Alligator mississippiensis: one gene and its partner. The protein of the gene in region 1 interacts with the protein of each later gene in a pairwise test. Links are inferred from orthologs where the notes say so. Each region holds a gene or a part of one and is shown on either strand. Other genes may lie near its edges.

What was found.
Region 2: the proteins of CKM (region 1) and ASB9 interact in binary tests that used the Homo sapiens proteins (3 or more experiments, as listed by UniProt). The two-hybrid records come from large-scale screens. The link is inferred for Alligator mississippiensis from reciprocal best matches to the Homo sapiens genes CKM and ASB9.

Annotation. Positions count from the first base shown.
Region 1 is NC_081838.1:164,733-172,901, reverse strand, and holds CKM (creatine kinase M-type), read left to right. Parts: upstream 1-5,068; 5' UTR 5,069-5,092; coding exon 5,093-5,285; intron 5,286-5,588; coding exon 5,589-5,743; intron 5,744-5,884; coding exon 5,885-6,017; intron 6,018-6,220; coding exon 6,221-6,392; intron 6,393-6,623; coding exon 6,624-6,747; intron 6,748-6,932; coding exon 6,933-7,122; intron 7,123-7,266; coding exon 7,267-7,445; 3' UTR 7,446-7,513; downstream 7,514-8,169. UniProt on the Homo sapiens protein: Reversibly catalyzes the transfer of phosphate between ATP and various phosphogens (e.g. creatine phosphate).
Region 2 is NC_081824.1:323,041,551-323,049,016, forward strand, and holds the start of ASB9 (ankyrin repeat and SOCS box protein 9), read left to right. Parts: upstream 1-4,293; 5' UTR 4,294-4,578; coding exon 4,579-4,672; intron 4,673-7,466. UniProt on the Homo sapiens protein: Substrate-recognition component of a cullin-5-RING E3 ubiquitin-protein ligase complex (ECS complex, also named CRL5 complex), which mediates the ubiquitination and subsequent proteasomal degradation of target proteins.

The DNA of each region.
Region 1 (8,169 bases):
ATTGGTCTGAAGGAAAACGCAGTCGGGACTCGTAGTAGAGATAGTATCTTGTATTAGACCAACTACGTTTTTGCAACAAAAGAAGTTCTTTAATTGCAAGTTTTCAGGCGCAAACACCCTTGATGAGGCATTGGAGAAAAGATTGTGAAAGTTCTCCTGGGTCGAAATGAAAGTTCATATTTCATAGGATTTCACAGAGGAGCCAATAGATGGACTACTCCTCGCATGTGTGTTTGCTTGTGTATGCATTTGTCTTTGGGTTTGTGTGTTTGCTTGTGTATGCATTTGTCTTTGGGTTTGTGTGTTTGCATGTGTGCCTGTTTGCACGTATCTGTGTGTGCGCTTTCTTGTGAGTGCATGTGTGCTTGTGTGTGTGAGTGTGCATGTGTATGAGTGCATGTGCACATGGTTGTGCCCCCCCCCCCCCCACTCAGCACTGCCTTAGGCCACTCCCAGGCCCTCCTGTGCCCCCTGCAGAGAGGCAGCCCCCTTTAGCCCCCTCCTCCCCAGGCTCAGCTGTCCCCAGACCCAGCAGGGCCTGGCAGTCTGAAAGCCCTTGCAGGACAGCACAGCTGCCCCAGCTCAGCACAGACAGTGGCTGCACCAGGGCAGAGCTGCCTCTGGCTGTTGGGCTCAGCCCCACTCCCTGTGGCAGCTGGAGATGCCCCTAGGCTCCTCAGGGCCCTTCCCTCCCTGGGACCAGGCTTTGGCATTGCTGGGCTGGCTGGGGGCACAGGTGGCACAATGGCTCCCATGGGTCCAGCTGAGGAGAACAGAGAACTGGGCCAGCACTGGCAGGGCTTGGCCCAGTGGGGACAGGCCATAATTACCGAGCACAGCGGTAATCACAGGCACCAGCTGGGGCTGCGGTAATTAGTGCTTGCTCTGTGCCTCCCAGGGCCTGCATTGGACCTTCAGGGTGGGAGAGCCAGCAGCAGGGGAAGGGGCAGGTCCTGAGAACAGGGGCAGCAGCTGCTGGTGGGGCTGGGCTGGGGAGTCAGGGCAGGTGTCCCAGGGCAGCCCAGGGGAAGCTGGGAGGAGACACCTCCTCCTCCACCTCCTGCTGAAGTGCCCAGGCCATGGCCCAACGCTGGAGCTGCTGTGGCCCAGCTGGGTGCAGGCAGGCACTGAGCGAGGGGTCGGGCGCCAGGATGGGCCTCTTGGCGCCGTGGGCCTGTTCAGGCCAGGCCAGCAGTGCAGATACAGGCACTGTGGGAAACCCGACCTGCCTGCCCAGCTGGCTCTAAAAATACTGGCTCACCCGCCCTCCCCCCCCCCCCCCGACCGGCCCAGCCTGCTGGGATTGAATTCTCATGATCCAGCGGATCAGCTCAGAGGTCATTGCACAGGGCACCCCTACCAGGACTGCCTGGGGTGGGGGGTTCCCCCCAGGCCCAGCACCAGCTCCCCCAGCCTTGCGATGCCCCAGGGCCCAGCACAGCTGAGGGGGCAGGGTGGAGGTATGTGGGCAGGTCACTGCAGGCTCTTGCCATGGGCATGTGCATGTGCAGGCATGTGCATGAAGAAATGCAGAGCCAATTTCTGCCATCACACTTGCCTCAGTTTCCATGAGCAGACAGTGTAGGAGGGGAACATGGTGAACACCCCCTGGCCTGGAAGTGGGGTGGGGGGAGGGGTGATGATGGCAATATGGGTCCCTTGAAGGCTGGTGCAGCAGGGGGTTCAACATAGATCTGGGCACAGGCTGCTGTGACCTCCCCACCCCAACGTGTTTGGCAGGTGGGGAGTGGGCACAGGGCCAAGAGCACCTGGGCCCTGGGGCATAGAATGATGGGGCTGCAGGCCTTGCCCCACAATGCCCCCTTCCCCTGTGGTGCCTCTAGTCCCCCAGGGAGATCCTGGTTGGCCCCCAGTCAGGTGGGTCCTGCTATTTTGAGCCAGTGCCGAGCTGGTTTAGTGACTGTCGTACATGCTGCAGCCTATTCCTGGAGCTCAGCCCTTGCCCTGGGGCTGGAAGACCCCCAGATAGCCTGCTGGATTAGCTTGCCCACAGCTGCCCTGAGCACTCCTGGAGGAGCATGGGCTAGTGCCTGCCAGGCTGTGCTGTGGCTGCCCCAGGCTGGGGGGCTCCAACTTTCAGCAGGGTGCCAGGTGGTCCCATGTCCCACTCCCCCCCCCACACACACACACATCCGGCGGGGTCTCAGCACCTCCGGGGGACAGCAGGACCCAGCTCCAACCAGCTGGCTCCTGCCCTGCTGCTAATTTTGGCCCTGCCTGTGGCCACCTGCCTGTGCCGTGATATTTCCAGCCAAGATCACGCCTGGCCTTGTGATGCCCACGGCAAGGTGACCTCCAGACAGGGGCGCCCAGCTGGGGGTGCTTTGGGCCTGTGCCCGAGGCAGGGGCTGGCTGAGGTGGTGCCAGGTCCTGGCCAGGGGCAGGTGCCAGCCAGCCCGCACCCCACTCCCCTCCACACACACACATGCACATACTGTGGCTCTTCTCCAAGGCCTTGACTGGCATGGCCTGCTCCCCGGGTGCCGGGACATGCTACACACTGCATGTAGCCCCTGCGTACTCCACATGTGGGCCCTACAGATGTGCACAAGACAGGGGACACCAGTGGACGCAGCTGGGTGCCTGGGCAGGGTGGGAGCAGTAGGATTTAGGTCCTCAGTGTGTCAGGGTCACAGCCCCTTCCAGGCCTTACATGCAGGCCCCTGGATACATGTACAAACCCCAGCTTGTGCTTGTGCACCCCCCCAGCCAGTGGAGCCTGGCAGGAGCCCCAGCCTGAGCAGGGAGATCCCCCCAGAGCTGCCTGCAGGGCTGGGCTGAAACCTGATCTCCCGGCCCAGCATACGCAGGCGGGGCCCGCACCCCTCTGCACAGCTGCTGTCCCTGCACCTGCTGCCTCCACCCCCGTCCACCCCAGGGGCCCTTGAGCAGATCCCTGGGCAAGATCCAGTCCTGTTCCAGCCCCCAGAGCCAGCAGGGAGCTGGAGTGAGGCAGGGTGCCCCGTGGGCACTGCCAGCCCAGCCACAGTCCCAGGTGCCCGCAGGAAGGGCACACAGCAGGCAATCAATTGCCCAGAGGGGGGCACATGGGGGTCTTAGCAGTGCCCCTGGGACCAGCCCCTTCTGGGGAGCCTGCAGGGTCCGGCTCAGCCTGACCCCCAGCATTCCTGTCTCCCAGCCGTGGTGCCAGGGGCCAGAGCTCAGGTTACGCTGATGTGTCAAACTCCGGTGTTTGGCACAGCCCCGAGCCTGCGCCCATCCCATGCACTGGGCACTCTCCGGGCAAGGCCTCAGCCCTGCACCCCCAGCACAGAGCCCCTGCTGCCCCCCTGTCCTCGGTCTACTCCAGTGCCCACTGTGACCTCATCCCTTAACGCTTCTTCCCCGAGCCCCACTCCCTGCCAGGGGTCATTGTGCCTTTTGCACCTGGGAGCTGCCCAAGCCACTGCTCCCCCAAGGGCACTGGGGATGTCCCGACACCAACCAGGCCCTGAGGCCCGAGACCAGTCTCAGCACCCTCCCAGGCTGATGCCCACCACCAGACTCTGTGGGGTGGACGTGAGCTGGGCCCCAGGACTGTTCCCCCCCATAAATCATGGTGCCCTGCAGCTGCTGGCCCCTTCCTGCTCTGGGGTTGGATCCCTGGAAACACGATCTCAGCTGCTCTGCTCTGGTGCCAGCAAGGGCCCGGACAGGCTGGGTTGCTTGGGTGGGGGCCAGGGCACTGTGAGCCAGCACCGCATTGCTGCCTATATAAAGTGCTGGGCCGTCGGCCATGGGGGCGAGGGGCGGGTGGCTGGGGGGGTGAGGGGGAGCAGCGTCATGTGCTCCCATCCCAGCCAGGCCTTGCTCAGCACCCTCAGGCTGGTACCTGAGGGGATGGGCTGGTGCCAGCACTGGGGACCGCCCCCTGGCAGGGCAGGGCAGGGCAGCCGGGCACGGTCCCGGGGTTCCCATGGTGACTGCGGGGGGCAGCTCGGGGCAGGGGGCCTGGCACAGGCTCTAGCAACTGCGGTCAGCCCAGCTGCCGGGGCAGGGTACAAGGGCCACCACCATGCCCTGGCAAGGGTGAGTCCAGGCAGGGCCCAGTGCCTCCTCAAGCCCCACTCACATGGATCCAGGCCCCAGGGGCTGCATCTGGGGCAGCCCTGGGGCAGGAAGGGGCAAACCTTCCCCAACCCCATCACTGCCCTGCACGTCCCCCCTGGCCCGGGGTGAGGCCTGGGGGGGAACACGAGGTCGGAGCATGGGGGGCAGCGCGACCCCTCCCCAGGCAGGGAGGCTGGATGGGCTGGGGCAGCTCAGCCCCGGCCCCAGATCCCGACGGCACCCCCCCCCCCCCCCGGGGCCCCTCCTCGCCGCCGGGTGCCCAATTGTGGCCGGGGCGCGAGCGGGCGCCAGCCAATGGGAGCGCGGCCCGCGGGATAAAGCGGCGTGGCGCGGGGCTGCCCCGGGTCACCTGCGCCGAGCCCGCGAGGAGTCCGCCCCGTCCCGTCCAAGGTGCGGAGGGGAGTTCGGGGCTAGGGCTGGGGCTCAGGGGTTAGGTGCTAGGTGCTGGGGCAGGAGCTGTGGGGCTGGGGCCGGGCTCGGAGCCGGGTATCGCTGCAGGGCATGGGGCAGGGGTGGACCGGGCCGCACCGTGGGGACGGACCTCCGCGCCTAGGGCCGGGCCGGCCCGGGCCGGCCCGGGCGTGGGTCCCTCCCGGCATGGCCCCCGCCGCCGCCCGCGCCCGACCCGGGATGCCAGGAACGCAGCTCAGCCCCGCAGACGGGGCCTTTTGTGGGCAAAGCGCGGGTATAAATAGCGCGGACAGCTGCCGGGCGCGGCGCCGAGCCTTGGCCCCCCCGGCCTCCCCCACGTGCTCCCCCGCCGCTGCGCTCGAGCCCCGGGGCACCGCCTCCTGCCTGCCCCGGGCGCCTCCGGCCCATGCCAGGTGCCCCCACCAGTGCCCTGCATAGGCAGCCACCCGCGGCCCGGGCATCTGAGCGCCTGGGCAGGAGCGTTGAACTATGGGAGCCAGAGGGACTGGGACTGGGACTGGGGTGGCAGGGAGCAGAGCAGCACCCTGAGTGCCGGTGCCCTCAGGCCGTGCCCACCACCACCGCCACCATGCCGTTCGGTAACACCCACAACAAGTTCAAGCTCAACTACTCAGCGGAGGACGAGTTCCCCGACCTGACGAAGCACAACAACCACATGGCCAAGGCACTAACCCTGGACATCTACAAGAAGCTGCGGGACAAGGAGACCCCCAGCGGCTTCACCCTCGACGACATCATCCAGACCGGCGTTGACAACCCAGGTCCTCTGGCTCCTTTGCTGTGGGGGGCAGGGGGGCAAGGGCAGGGAGCCGGGGACCCCCCAGCCTGGGGGTGACAGGGGCAAGGGCAGGGAGCTGGGGCTTCCTCTCCCTTATTCCCAGCCTTGTCTCACTCAGCTCCAAGCCCAGGATACTGCTGCAGTGAGGCCTGTGGGATACATTTGATATGGTGTGATTCTGCCATGGGTTCGGGTGGCCTCAGTGTATGTGGAAGGGAAAAGTGGAGCAGAGGTGAGGGTTGGGGGCAGGTGACCATGACCCTGACCCTGTTCCCCCACCCCGCAGGGCACCCCTTTATCATGACTGTAGGCTGTGTGGCTGGGGATGAGGAGAGCTATGAAGTCTTCAAGGACCTGTTCGACCCCGTGATCCAGGACAGGCACGGCGGGTACAAGCCCACCGACCAGCACAAGACTGACCTCAACCATGAGAACCTCAAGGTGCCTGATTGGGGTGGGGGACCGGCAGAGCTGGTGCTACCAGGTCAAGTGGAGAGGGCCCTGGCATGGCTTCTTTGGGGGGGGGGGGCGCACAGGGCAAGGGGCCCTCAGCCGCACTGACGTTTCCTCTGGCCTGTGCAGGGTGGGGATGACCTGGACCCCAACTACGTGCTGAGCAGCCGGGTGCGCACGGGCCGCAGCATCAAGGGCTACTCGCTGCCCCCCCACTGCAGCCGCGGGGAGCGCCGTGCCGTGGAGAAGCTCTCCCTCCGCAGTGAGTGGTGGGGGATGGGGGCAGGGGGGAGCTCCCCATCAGCAGTGAGGTGGGGGGCATGGGGCTGGGGGCCAGTCTCCATTCCCCAGGAAGCTGGGAACACCCCTGGACATGGGGCAGGGACGGTGGCATCTTCCAGGGTGCCTGGCAGGGTCGGGTTGCAGGGTGCCTGCAGGCGTCCCTGACATAGTGTCTTACCCCAGCCCTGAACAGCCTGACCGGGGAGTTCAAGGGCAAGTACTACCCACTGAAGGACATGTCGGACCAAGAGCAGCAGCAGCTCATCGACGACCACTTTCTCTTTGACAAGCCTGTGTCGCCCCTGCTGCTGGCCTCCGGCATGGCCCGCGATTGGCCTGATGCCCGCGGCATCTGGTGAGGCCCCCCACAGGCTGGACACTGGGGTCCCAGCCCCAGAGCTGGGGGAAGTGGAGACTGCATGCTGGCCCCAGGACTCCTGGGTCCTTGATCTGCCTTTGGGAGTCTGTGGGCTGGAGCAGGAAGCCTGGGTCCTAGCCCCAGGGCTGAGGGAACCTGGGGCAGGGTGCAGGGGACAGGACTGGTGCAGGGGCCCTGACAGCAGCCACCCCCTCCCCACCCCTGCAGGCACAATGACAACAAGACCTTCCTGGTGTGGGTGAATGAGGAGGACCACCTGCGCGTCATCTCCATGCAGAAGGGTGGTAACATGAAGGAGGTCTTCCGTCGCTTCTGTGTTGGGCTCCAGAAGGTGCGGGTCTGGCTGTCTGGGTTCTTGCCCCTGCCCAGGGAGGCCAGTGGGGGCTGGAGCAGGAGCAGGCTAGGGGCCTGCATGCCTGGATTTTTATTCTTGCTCAGGGAGGCCAGTGTGGGCTGGCAAGGTGGGAGCAGGAGGGGGCTGGGTCCTGGTGCTGATCCCCCTCCCTGCCCTGGCAGATTGAGGAGGACTTCAAGAAGGCCGGGCACCCCTTCATGTGGAACCAACATCTGGGCTATGTGCTGACCTGCCCGTCCAACCTGGGCACGGGCCTGCGTGGTGGCGTCCACGTCAAGCTGCCCCACCTCAGCAAGCACCCGAAGTTCGAGGAGATCCTCAAGCGCCTGCGCCTGCAGAAGCGCGGCACTGGTGGGTGCAGGGGTTGGGCACTAGTGGGCATAGGCGTGCGGGGAGGGAGGATGGGGGGGCACAGAGCCTGGGGCTCAGCAGCTCTGGGGCCAGCACGAGCAGGGGCTGTGGCAGCACTGACCCTTCCCTTCTCCCCCCCCACAGGCGGGGTGGACACGGCGGCGGTGGGCTCTGTGTATGACGTCTCCAATGCAGACCGGCTGGGCTTCTCAGAGGTGGAGCAGGTGCAAATGGTGGTGGACGGTGTCAAGCTCATGGTGGAGATGGAGAAGAAGCTGGAGAAGAACCAGACCATTGACGACATGATCCCAGCCCAGAAGTAGGCACTGTGCCCACCCCAGCACTGCCAATGCCCGCCCACGGGCCCAATAAAGCCATGATGGCCCCAGCACTGCTGCCTGCTGTCTGCACTGGGGGCCAGGCAGGGGCAGGCCAAGGTGTGGGGCACCGGGAGGGGGGGGTGCCCCCCATACATTTCATAACTGTTTATCTCGGAGGAACCGCAGTAGATCATTAAATCCGACCCCCTGCTCTGGGCAAGAAAGATCACTGGGGTCAGATGACCCCAGGCAGGTACTTGTCCAGTCTCCTCTTAAAGACCTCCAGGGTAGGGGAGAGCACCACCTCCCTTGGAAGCCCATTCCAGATTCTGGTAGCCCTTACTGTGAAGAAGTTCTTCCTGATGTCTAATCTAAATCTCCACGGCAGGGTCCAGGGCCCACAGGCTTGAGCTCCCCCTGAGGCAGGGGGCATGGGGCAGGCAGGAGCTGTGGGGGCTGCTGTAGTGCTCCCACCCCCTCACCCAAGATGACCTGTACCCCCCCCCCCCCAACATATGACAACCTGAGCCCAAAGCTCCAACCTGCTCCAGCCCCTGGAAGGGTCTGTCAACTGCCTCCATTTCCACCCCCCCCCCCCCCCAGTGTAGGGCTAGACCCTGCAGGGCTGGGGGGTGGGGTTCAGCCCAGGCCACATCACATCACCTCTGCAGGAGCCCTGACAGGCAACACCTACACCACCTAGCCTGGGGCTCCCGAGAGCTGGACA
Region 2 (7,466 bases), on another chromosome or scaffold:
TCCCGTCTTGTTCGTTAAATTCTTAAGATGTATCTACGGTTTTGCATGCTCGTCAAGAGTATCCAGAGCTCTGTCGTGTTTGTTTTGCGGAGCCTAGCAAACTCCGTGCGTGTGTCTTCGGTGGAGCCTAGCAAACTCCACTTGTGTTTGTCTGTAACTGCAACTCAAGAAAGTTTTTCCTGCCTGCACCGTGACCACCTACGGTGTAAGTAAAACAATCTTTAATTAACCGCTACGAGTCCGTGCCTAATTGTAGTCCGTCGTGCCAGAGTCCCCGCCCTACCGTTGCGGGCTCCTGGCCACAGCCCGCCGTGCGCCCCTGAAAGCCTTGGACCGCTCCCAGCCCGCGCAGGGGGTAGTACCCTAACCAAGGTAATGCATTGTTAGTCTACTATATGCCAACTTTATGGAATGGGACACTCCTCCCTAGCTTGCTCCTGTGGCCATACGGTTGAGGGCAAGTGAAACTTGGGGGCATCTGAACCCCAAGCCTCGGGGATTGGATCTGTACGTAGGATGTCTGCCAAAGGATTTGGAAGCATCTGAAGTCCCAGGTGGGGGTGGAGGATGTTTGCTGGTAGCAGGGCCACATATGGTTCTTGAATGACTCATGGATTTGGAATTGATTTGCTGATTTGACTTGGGGGGACAAAAAATTTTCCTTAAAAAACAAACAAGCAAACAAAAAAATTGTTGGTATTATACTTGATACCGAAAATTCTTTTGAAATGAGACCTGTGCAAGCAAATAGAGCCCTCTGAGGAGAATGCATGGCATGCACAAGTACAAATGGGGAGAGGCAACTAGTCAACTGCAGCTGTGCAGTGAAGAATGTTCTGAAGAGGAAGATTAAAATGTGGGTACCAAGGACCAACAGCAGGAAAACAGGGATACTATGATTTGAGGCTGCTTGGAGAATAAGGTACTAGTCACTGTGAATAAGGATGGCAAAAACATCTTTTAGAAAAGTTGAAGTCTGAAAACCACCACTATAAAATCTGACTGGAGACAGAGAAACTGGAGAACCACTTTTAACATGGCTTTTAAAGATGATAAAGGTTGTCACAGAGGAAGAATTCAGGCAATCTGCCTAAAATTCTGTTTGGGATTTTGAATAGGGTGACCATAATCATTTGAGGGAAACCATAATAATTTGAGGGATGAGGGAGTAGTGGGTGGCCCCAGGGGGTGCACCTCCCCACCTCAGCAGCTCCCAGGAGCAGGGCTGGGCAAGACACCATGGTGCATACATACATACACACACACCCTTGACCTCATGGCTCCCTGCGCACCCATCTCTTAACCCTGCTTGCAGCCCAGCGGGGTCCAAACCAGGAAGCAGTCCATTGGCTGGGCTCTCTGGAGAAAATTAAAGCAAAAGTCCTGGATTGGTAGGAACCTGCCCGTATGGCTAGGGACAGACATTCAAAAAGCCTAAGCCCGAATTGATTCAATCTTTGCAGGTTAGTCTAACCTGGCTAGGCTAAATCAGTTGGTAACTGTACAGATATCCCAGACATGCAGGCACATGCCTGCAGTGGCTCAGGCTAGAAGCTGGGGGGCACTAGAGCAGCCCTCCCCTCCCTTCAACAAGGTTGAGCTGAGGGGTGCAGGGCCAGGCCCCGGCAGGATGCTCTGATTAGGGAGGGGGTTCCCCCCCACCCCCGCGAGCAGCCCAGCAGGGAATTGTTAACACAGTGTTTATCATCCCTAACTCAGTGTTTATCACCCCCTTAAGAAAACAACAGAGGGATATTACCAGCTAGCTGTTGATTCCACCTTTGTCCCATCTACCACAGCAGGGACTGTAGCCAGCATGTGGTCTGCTAGCTAATATGCAGACACCTCTCAGCAAGACAGAGGGGAGGGGAGAATTCCTGCTTAGCAGGGAGTGTGTGTTTGGGGGGAGGGTGGGATGGAGCAGCCTGCAGTCTCTGTTAAGCTCCAGCCAGGGAGCAGAGGGGAGGAGCCAGCCCTGCTGTGGAGCAGAGAGCCCTGCCCAGCCCAGAGAGCAAGCTGGGATGCTGGGGGAGTCTGGTTTAAGTTAAACCACCAAGGGGTCTGGAACAAACACTGCATAAACCAGTTTGACCCAAACCAGTTAAGTCTGATACTACATCCATTTTCAAACTGGTTTATGTGCACTGAACATCTGTTCTGTTACAGGTTTAAATTAGTTTCTGAATTCTGATCACTTAAACTGGTTTATGTGTAATGTCTGTCCCTCGCCCATGTGCCTGGCTCCTGACTGAGGAGTTGCATGTAAGGGTGGGTTCCAGGAGTTTTGCTTCAATTTTATCCGATGGCTGGGATGCTGAAACAGACTCTGAAATCTGGGACTGTCCTGGCCAGTCCAGGACATATGGTCACCCTAATTATGAGTGGCCTGTATGCTTGATGTTTTATAATTATCTTTACTGTAATTCTTGCCATTATGCTAAGCAGACAGAAAGGGGCATCTAAATGTCTGTCTCTGAATAGAACAGTCAATAAAGACCCATCAACACAAGAATTGGTGCTCCTTGAAAAAAATGAAAAGATGGCTGCTTCCTAACTGAAAACAATATTATTTGTTTTGTCTACACAAAATAAGGATTCTTCAGGATTTTGCAAAAATTCCCAAAAGGGAACAAAAAGAGTAATTCACAGAGAAAACTGGAGGACAGTTTTCTTGAGTGCCAGAAGGCCTGTTGACTTAAGAACCATCTAATAGGAAACAAAGCTTGCTGCAGAGGTATAAAAGATGACTGTAATTCAGAAGTGATGCTTAGCCTGGAAGAGTGGAGTTCCAGAGAAGGTTGCTGGAGCTTCGAAAAGTCATTGATCCACCCTAAAAAAATCCTTTAAAAATGATCAGAAGTGGTGATGATATTGAGGCCCAAGGGGGCATTTACTGTTTTGTCTATATCTGGGTACTTCTTGTGTTCTCTAAAATAAAGACTGAATGATTTAGAACCCCTTTTGTAAATCTATGCCTATTTGCTTCAACTATTGCATGTACTCTAAACTGTAAATCAGAGTGGCCATAAGGTCAAGCTCTTGGAAAGGGTGTACTTACTTAAGCTATACCTTGGGCTGAAAGCACAGGAAGAGGCAGCATTAGTTATGGGGTTTTAGGGCAGCTGAAAGATGTTGTCTCATTTCCAGAAGGCATAACTGATAAGGATGCCAGGATCAGGGTGTGTGGCAGAGAAACTGGAACAGGAACAGTGGCAGAATTCATCTTAGAGATGGAGAGGACCTTAAAAGTCTGTATGGCCACTATATGGGCAGCAGCTTCACACAAAGCAGCTTGTCAGAGGGAGCTCTGGAATTGCCAGGTGATGTTTAATTTACTCTGTGCTTCCCATTAGTGTGGGGATGAGGCACGGCTGCTGGTTTTATCTTTGAATGGGACTGTATTTTCCAGTCATGGCAAAGACACTTAGAAGTTATTACTTGTTCTTTTTTATATGTTATAGATAGAAATAAAGTTAACCTATGAAGATTTGGGGCAGGTGATAAGAATTTCACCTTGGTGGGCAGGTGTAAAATATGCAACTCCTGTTTGAGTGCATGACACTTTTTCATGAAGTTCTTGTCTGTGAATAAAAATGGTTACATTTGCATATTCATTAAGAACAAATGGACTTTGTGCCTGTAGATTACAGAATTTGAGACCAAATAGCAAATGGAGAAATGATCTGTTTGCGTACAAAGTTATACTAGGTTGAGGTCCTTTCGAAAAACATGTCTGTGTTTACTTTCCTGGAGTTCATGGTTTTTAGTTTAGGTGAAAAATCAGTTTTAAAATGTTGGTGCAACATGATTTGGTGAAGTTAACTGAAATTAATACCAATAAATAAGCCTATAGAAGAGCATGCTTTTCATGCTATAGAGACAAGAAAGCACTTCTAGTGAAAAGTACAGCTCTGCGAACATGTGGTTTCAATATTCTCATGGTATGTAGTGACTCGTGCTGTGTAAAAAGAGCCCTCCCCACTGTTGTTTTTGCATGCTGTCATGAGATTTTTTGATGCTGTCAGGGTTTTTATGTACTATACCATATTCACAGAGGCATAGTATATGTGAAAAGCATGTTGTCTCAAAGCAATTCCATCTGAGTAGTGGAAAACAGCAAACACTACTTACTTTCTAAGTTATCTTTACAAATCCCCCCCGAAGGCAGTTTGCTTAACTAGTTGAACTGGCTCTTTCTGTTTTGTTTTTTTTGGCAAACTAAGAATTTCCTGCCTGATAAAAACAGAAGGCAGACTTACTGATTGGGCGTGGCTTTTGAAAGGATATGACATCAGACACATCCCTTGCTTTTGTGCAGTGTGGTCTGTCTGTTCTCTGCCTGTCCACCAAGTAAATGAGGAGGTGTTTCGTTAAATCCGAGCACAGGTACTCGAATTTCTGTGCGAACTGCTGCCAAGCCAAGTTCCAGTCGGCTGCAGTCTGCTTGACTTGGACACACACAACAATCTGCTTAATAGATTACTCCCATAACTAGGCATTTCATCAGGGAAGATGGAATTTGAACTCTCATGACCAACCTTGAAGAGAAATAACAGAAACTAGACTGCCTAGGGTGCAATGGATAATGAGAGAGTACATGGAAATGCCAGCAAATCCCTGGGAGCGGAAGGCCAGCCACATGCATCTTCTCTATCAAATCCGTTGATGAGTGGTAAGTTATATTGCTCGGCCTGATCTACTCCCCCAGTGAGGGTGGAAGGGCCATGGAGAGTGCATATTCAAAGTGACAGCAGTTTGTCCTCCTAGTGTCTGGTTTACATACTGTGCTACTGATGCAGACCCCATGTACATGCAGTTACTTTTCAAATGCATTTCTTTTAGACATGATTAATACTGTTAATGCTTTTAGGCGCTTCATAAAAAAGCAGTGTTTGGCTCTTAGGAATCTGTGTAAAGGATCAGAAATATTACCATTACAATAATAAGTTACTAAGGAGTTACTATATAGGCATGTTTGGCTTATGTTACTGCCAGCTGGAAGTTTTGTGGTGGCTTCTTTTCTTTCTTTTCCTTTTCCTTTTCCTTTTCCTTTTCTTTCCTGCTGAAGGCTGTCATGAGTGATTCCCAAAGGGCTCAGATTATGAATGTTGGGCTATTACTGGGGAGCAATGGTTCCCGGTGTCCTCATTCTGCTCATTACTCTTCATAGGAAGTTTCCAGTCTGGGCCAAAATGTCTGAAAATATGACACCGTGTCAAAAGACAAATGCCTTCATTTTGCATGCAGCTTAATTAGCAATGTTTCACTCTTCTGTTCTCTTGGAAGCTCTGTTTTCAGTTCATGGTCAGCACAGTGGGGGCGGATAAATCAAGAGAGCATGGTTTTGCTGCATTCCTCTCCTTCCCCGAGACCTCTCTCGGGACCTTCAACTCATTACTAAGGGAAAAAGTGTTATTAAAATATGAAGTGGAGGACAAGGCAAATTATCATGTAGCGATTACTTTATATACCTATGTTGTGTAGTCAGAGACAGGAAGATAGTGACATCATTGAATTAAGAACAAAAATAAATAAGGTTTGGAAGGGGATTCTGACAAAATGGATGACAGGTGTCTAGCATCTGGAATAAAAGGGCGAAATGTGCAGCGATGCAGATTTTTTCAGAAGTAGGAATAGATTTCAAAACTGTTCGTCTATGACGTGTACCCTTTGAAAATGAATATCCAGGTGATTCCTGGTGTGTGTCTTGATATCAGCACATTGCAAATTCTATCCTGGAGTTATACCATGTATGAATTTGGCTTTGTATGTTTTAATTTTTCTGTAACAATTTGAGGTTAATGACTTTTACTTCTGGACATTTGACACACAGCATATCTCTTGCAACAAAAAGCAGGTGCTTCAGAAATGATCAAATTAAAGATAATTTAAAAGTACCACAGAACAGATTTTTTTTTTCCAGGCAGAACTATCTCAGTCATTTCTCCACCTGCCCCATGCACTGATTATAATAAATGGGGATGTATTGGGATTCAGCTGACTGTTTTTTATGAGACCCCACAGACCTCACACCTGAAGGAATAAATCCTTCTGTGGCTTTGAATTTTTGTTTTCATCTTTCTTTCTATTCTTTTGCCTCTTTACTAAGATGAGTCACCACAAGAGATAAAGAAATGTTCAGCTTAGTGAAAATTTGAAACCTCCCATTTGTCTGCCTGTCTCTGATATGAATCCCTGAGATAAGGGCCTTATGCCACTTTCAGTAGCTAGCTCACACTTTTCTGCCTACATGCATGCCAGGTAAAAGCTTTTACCCTGGCCTCAAACCAGGTTTGAGCTGTTTAGGTGGGGAGAACATTGTTTCCGTTCCAGCAGGACTCCTCCATTGACATTCCCGTGGTCTAACAATCTCTCTGGAAAAGTACTGCTGAACCACTGTCACCAGAGAGTTACAGGGCCTTAACTGCCCTCTTGAATTGTTTTGAATTACTTTATCTGCATAACAAACTAGGCCCCAAGAGGCCTATTTAGGCTGTTATTTTCAGGTTGGTGTCACTATTACTTCTTTTAATCTACTTGCCACAATTGTCCAGAGGTTTCAGGGGCTGGGATGAAGTAAAATGCTTTAAAAACATGCATCGGATTTGTCCCCTTTGATAGTTCAGAAAAAAACAAAACCATAATTCCCTGACTGTGCTTAAAACTGATGAGATTGGCTGGTTATAGCTATATTAGAAAAGCCTCCTATGGTGTGTTCCCACATGCAGGGGCAGGTGGTTGCCACCGCAAAAACAGCAGCATCACAAATTTGTGCCACTGCTTTTTGCTACAGCGCATGCCCCTCCATGCAGGGTTGATGTATGGCAAGTTGTCTCCAACAGAGTAGGAGAGGCTGGGGCCAGCATCTAAGCTAGCCCTAGGAGCCTTACCTGGAGTCCTACGGGCCTCCCAGGGCAGCAGCAGCAGCAATCCAGCCACTCGGAGCCTTGCCAGCAGCCAGAGCATGGTTCTGGCTGGCCAGGCACCCTTTCTGGTGGTGCATGCTGCTGGTACATGCACCACATTGATTTTTTCAACACTGGGGTTTTTGACACTGGGATATGAGCAACCAATGTGATGCTATAAGCCGGCAGAACGAACAAGACACTGGCATGCATCAACCAATGCATCTCAAGAAAAACTAAGGATGTCATCCTCCTGCTTTACTCTGCACTGGTGAGGCCTCAGCTGGAGTACTGCATCCAATGCTGTGTGTCACACTTCAAGAAGGATGTGGAGAGTCTTGAAAGAGCTCAAAAGAGGGCCACACGAATTATTAGAGGTCTGGAGGACAGGCCGTACAAGGAGAGGCTGAAGGGCATGGGACTGTTCATCCTGGAGACAAGAAGACTTAGGGGGGACTTGATGGTAGCCTAAAAGTATATAAGAAGAGAACATAAGGGGTTGGGAGAGCATCTGTTCAGCAAGGCACCCCAGGGGAAGACAAGAAATAATGGCCATAAACT